Tribolium castaneum: one gene and its partner. The protein of the gene in region 1 interacts with the protein of each later gene in a biochemical or structural test. Links are inferred from orthologs where the notes say so. Each region holds a gene or a part of one and is shown on either strand. Other genes may lie near its edges.

What was found.
Region 2: of the proteins of caspase-1 (region 1) and p23, one has a biochemical effect on the other in vitro, tested with the Homo sapiens proteins (2 studies listed by BioGRID and IntAct). The link is inferred for Tribolium castaneum from reciprocal best matches to the Homo sapiens genes CASP7 and PTGES3.

The regions. Positions count from the first base shown.
Region 1 is NC_087394.1:11,887,166-11,890,048, reverse strand, and holds the end of caspase-1, read left to right. Parts: intron 1-416; coding exon 417-566; intron 567-625; coding exon 626-781; intron 782-1,033; coding exon 1,034-1,274; intron 1,275-1,472; coding exon 1,473-1,551; 3' UTR 1,552-2,220; downstream 2,221-2,883. Other genes in the region: RpS24 (small ribosomal subunit protein eS24), read left to right, coding at 2,412-2,414, 2,722-2,868. UniProt on the Homo sapiens protein: Thiol protease involved in different programmed cell death processes, such as apoptosis, pyroptosis or granzyme-mediated programmed cell death, by proteolytically cleaving target proteins.
Region 2 is NC_087398.1:11,190,407-11,192,931, reverse strand, and holds the end of p23 (prostaglandin E synthase 3), read left to right. Parts: intron 1-634; exon of another isoform or gene 635-778; coding exon of another isoform or gene 779-792; intron 793-1,062; coding exon 1,063-1,149; intron 1,150-1,199; coding exon 1,200-1,617; 3' UTR 1,618-1,686; downstream 1,687-2,525. Other genes in the region: GlyRS (glycine--tRNA ligase), read right to left, coding at 1,857-1,967, 2,513-2,525. UniProt on the Homo sapiens protein: Cytosolic prostaglandin synthase that catalyzes the oxidoreduction of prostaglandin endoperoxide H2 (PGH2) to prostaglandin E2 (PGE2).

The DNA of each region.
Region 1 (2,883 bases):
CCAATAAAATTTTTTTTTAATAACACTTCTCGAATATCTTGGTATGCAACTCGCATACGCTCGTTGCATAACGACAGCCCTTGAACTTTAGCTTGTGTTTTCACACTCGTATTATTAAAAATCATAACTATATTAATGTTTTTACTTATAACATAACACATATTCTTATAATTTTAATTAATTAGTTTTAAATTAATGTTTTCATTATTTTAAAACACGCTTCCCATATAAATTAAAATGTTCCAACAAAAAAAAATTTTTTAGTAACACTTCGCATACCTTCGTTGCATAACGACAGCCCTCGAACTTTAAGCTTGTGTTTTCGCACTCGTATTATTAATAAATGTATTAATGTTTTTACTTATATTATAACACAGATTCTTATAATTAAATTTTTATATTATAATTTATTTTAGCTGCCAAATATGATCACACCGATTCCGATTGCTTGTGCATTTCCGTTCTCACTCATGGCGACACCGGAATTCTGTACGCCAGAGACACACAATACAAACCTGATTTGCTCTGGAGTTATTTTGCAGCCGATCGGTGCCCCTCTCTAGCCGGTAACATATTTAATTTTTCTACAGTTTTTTTGTCATTGTCATTGAATCAACAATTTTAGGAAAACCAAAAATTTTCTTCCTGCAAGCTTGTCAAGGCGATAAATTGGACGGTGGTGTTATTTTATCAAGAACTGAAACTGATGGTCACCTGGAAATCGATTCGTATCGCATTCCAGCACAGGCTGATTTCCTCGTGGTTTATTCAACTGTAAAAGGTTATTATTGTTTAACTTTTATTATTTTTTTGTTGGTAACATTTAAGCCTTCTTTTCAATACCTGAATCCTAGATTATAAACACTATTTTAAAACACGCTTTCCATGGCAACGTATTTTAAATTAAAATGTGCCAACAAAAAAAATTAATAACACTTATACACTCGCATACGCTCGTTGCATAACGACTGCCTTCGAACTTTATGCTTGTGTTTTCGCTCTCGTATTATTAATAATTATTATTTTATTTTAGGTTATTATTCGTGGCGCAACACCACTCGAGGCTCGTGGTTTATCCAAGCCTTGTGTGAAGAGCTGCGAAATAAAGGCTTTGATTACGATTTAGGCACAATCCTAACATTTGTTTCCCAACGTGTGGCTTTCGATTTTGAGAGTAATTGTCCCGATTCGCCAACAATGCACCAACAAAAACAGATTCCTTGCGTGATGAGTATGCTCACAAGGTTGATACAGTTCACAAGGGTGAAAGAAGGGTAGGGTTCTGTATTACCGACTTTACCATAGCATGTATTTCTATCAAGTAGCTGTATTAAGTTCAATGTTGAGCTACTTGCTCATTCCATTTATATTCCGATCTCTCTTAGTTTTGTTTTTTGCTCAATGCGCGTCTAAATAGTCTAAACGATGTGTTCTTGAAGACTGCCAAACATGACCTTAAACGTAATTTTTAGATTGGAAGAAAATGAAACGCTCCAAAAACAAGAAAAACGTAAAAATACTATTAAGGGATTATTTACAAAGGGTAAATAAATGCGTAATTACTTAATTCGATTAATTTTAGCATATTTGTGCACAGGTGTCTTTCAAATTTTTAGCTTTCTAAATTTTATTACTAAAAGTAGGTCTAAGAAATAGTGATGTTTGTTTTGTAGGAAATTTTCACTTTTTAGTAAATTATTTTGGCTGTTGTATCATTCCAAATGCACAAGTATGTGCAGTGCAATCGTTTAATTATTTTTAAGTAAATGTTATGCGTAGTAAGTGCCAATTTATGTGTTGTGGCTGTAAAAATTAGATTGGCCACACTGTATCATTCAGTCAGTGTTGCCAACAGGATTTTAAGGTTACAGGCCACTTGATAGTTTAGTTGTATATACTTTCAATCAGTTGTAAGCCAAGCACCAATGACAACGTGTTAGCGTATGTAATTAAGGCACATGAGAAATATCACACTGTATTAAATCGTTAGTTTAATTTTTGCATATTTAATATACGTGCCATTGTCTTTCAAAAAAGTGTCTTATGGAAGTCAAGTGTGTTAACGATTGGAATGGATAAACTACAGCTGTGTAAACATTGCCATTTTAAAAATATTGTATTACTACATAATTAGTTGGTGTATTTTTACATGTAAATGTTTTTATATTGTATACACCTTTATGTTTTACAAAAGAATAAAAGATGTACATTGTGCTCGCACTATTTCGATTTATTTCTCTCCAGTTATGCGATAATTGCTTAAAAATTCTTATCAGAGAAAGGCTCAAGGTGAGGCGGTACTTGTTTAAATCGTAGCTCCAACGAACAGTAGTTTTACTTGTCGGTGTTTTTAACCTACTCGATACTTTCGTAGAGGGCGCTCTTTTCGTGCAGTAATTTTTGTCATCAAAATGGTATGGAAATAAATCTGGAAAAAGTTTGGTCATCTTTCCACTATTTCAATGAAATTAAGTGCAGTTTTGTGAAAAATGTGGCCAGGATTAATGTTGTGTGAAAATTATGGGGCTACTTTCGGCTTTGACAGGTTTTTTTCACCTAACCTATACTGGTGTTCGGCATGGTTAATTGTTTACCATAATTTGGGTAATTTATCGTATTTCTGTGATAAACTTGAATTTTGGGGTATGGTGGAAAGGTGGCCAAAGTGTTCCAGTGTTTGTTGTAACCTCTCGCACAAAATTACCAAATTCTTGTTTTCAGACTGAAGGTACAGCCACAATTCGCACTCGCAAATTTATGACCAACAGATTGTTGTGTCGCAAACAGATGGTTGTAGATGTTCTACATCCAGGTCAGGCGTCTGTTAAAAAAACAGATATTAGGGAAAAACTGGCCAAAATGTACAAAGTAAGTACTTGTTTC
Region 2 (2,525 bases), on another chromosome or scaffold:
CTCAGAAAATGAAATACACAACTAAACGGAACTTGAAAAAAAATCAAATTTGAGACTCACCCAATTGTTGTCCTTAAAAACCGACATTCCGTTTCTTAATTGCTTCACCATAGATAAAGCATTTTAATCCACAAATTTGCACAAACTTTCTCACTTTGAAAAAATCAAATTCTCAGACAAGGCCAACCTGTTGGTTGGATTCGCACCAAAACAAAATATTAGCAAAGTCCATACGACCGCACAAAATTAATCAGAGCAGAATAATCGAGCTTATATGGTCGATTTCTCAAATTACGCCCAATTTACTTTAATAAGAAGCGGCCGTTAGTGACCCTTGCCTCTCCAGTTAACCTATGTTGAAAATTTACGTTATGACGCGCATTGTTAATCAACAATCTAACAACAAACGTGAAAAAGCACTGGCAGTGTCGCTCTTTCGACGATTTGTAACTACCTGCCGCGAAATGCGGACTTTCTAATTGGTAGGAAACGACCACGTGGTACTCGACATCGTTTCACGTTGTTGGGAGAAGCGCCTTTTTGTCGCTAAAAACCAAAAGGGGGGGCCTTTGCCCCCGTGTCTTTAAACAATTCGGTTTGGGCGCAATTTTGCAAAAATGGGATTGTTCGAAATTGGCGCGCTCCAGGCCGGTCGGGCGAATCTAGTGACTTTGGCGTGTCAGCCTGACGCAACCGTTACAACTTCACGCAGTTTCCCGGTCTGGACTGGAGTGTTTGGACGTATTATTTTATTTAATTTAAATTAATACAGCCCGAAATGACTCAACAAACGTAAGTTTTGCTTTCTTGTACTAAAAAGCGTTGAAATTGGACCGTGATTGACTCAAATTTCGGTTATTTGTCTCGAATTTTTTCCCAACAACGGCCATGTTGTGGCATTGTGTATAATCGATTCTGGAACATTCGAAAATAATCGTAATTATGATTGCGATTTACGATGAATGCTTTAAACGCGGTTGAATATTTACATAAAAGCACGTTTTTGTGATTGGCGACGTAACGGTTGGTGTGCTAAAATGGCGTCTCTAACCTCACTTTTAGGTTACCTCCCCCAGTGATGTGGGCCCAAAGAACTGGCGTAGTTTTTTTAACGATAAATTTAGAGGACTGTAAAGACCCCGATGTTAAGTACGAGTGGTTGCGCTGTGAGGAACGAGTGGTGACGGGTTCTGTTGCAGATTCACGAAAGACTCTGTATATTTCAAAGGCATTGGCGGCGTTGAGAAGAAAACTTACGAAGTCACAATCCCCCTGTATAAAGAAATAGACCCGGAAAAGAGCAAAAGCTTCAATAGGGGCCGGTGTATTGAAATAATCTTAGTTAAGGCAAGTTCAGACGATTCCTATTGGCCTGCGCTGACTTCTGATAAAAAGAAGCACCATTGGCTAAAATGTGACTTCAACAAGTGGCAGGACGAGGACGATTCGGGTGACGAGGGCGTGGGGGGCATGGGCGGAATGGGCGGCGGCGACTTCGAGGAGATGATGCGGCAGATGGGAGGCCTGGGGGCCGGCGGGGACAAGCCCTCCTTTGATGATTTAGAAGATGGTGATGGTGCTGATTCAGACGATGAACCTATTCCCGATCTTGAATAAGCACTCGAATTACTTCTTTCCTTTTGTATCTTTTCATTTGTTAAGTTAACAATAAAATGTTTAGTGGTATCTTCGGATTTTATTTCTTTGTTCAGTGTTTAAATGTGCTAAAGTTTTCCTTCCAACCGTTCATCATGTGTATTATCAAGTATTAAGTGAATAAAAAACATTTGTAGGTACCAAGGTGTTTAATTTCATTCAAGCTTATAATTATAATAAATTAAAACTGGACAATTCCCTCAAACTCCTTTGCTTTCCTGTTGCTCGAACTTCGGGTATTTGCCCTCAATATCGGCCCATGATTTTTTACTGTACGACAAATCGTGCAAAACTGTCGCAATATCGTCCAGCTACAAACAATAGATGGTGAAACCACTGCTTTAATTTCGTCCGAGAGGGAGCCACGTTACAGTTACCATGGTTATGTTAATTTGGTAACTATGGTAACAATACATATGGCGCCATAACTACAGACATATAAAGGTTAGGATACGAAACAACGTACAAATAAAACGTTCGCGAACTCGATAGTTCCATCAATATCGCCAGAGGGAGCAGTTGTTCCACAAACAAAAATGGTATTTATATAACGATTAGCACAAGGCAAACTAAAAAAATACAGACAGATAGAGCATTAAATTATCATTAGTAAGAAATGAAAATAATGCAAAAATTTTGACGTAAACAATAGTTAATAAAATTACAAACTTAAACCAATTTGCACTCCGCCCCATATTTTTCAAAACGCTGTGAATACAGTTATTGATAAAAGAAGAGTTTTAAGAAGAAAGTTGTAGAGAATTAAATTTCCTATAAAAAAGTACTGCAGGTTCCGGATTTTGTATCTCGTTTCGCCTCCTAACTTATAGTATAGTCCTCGGTAACCAAAACTTACCGGAATTCTGACT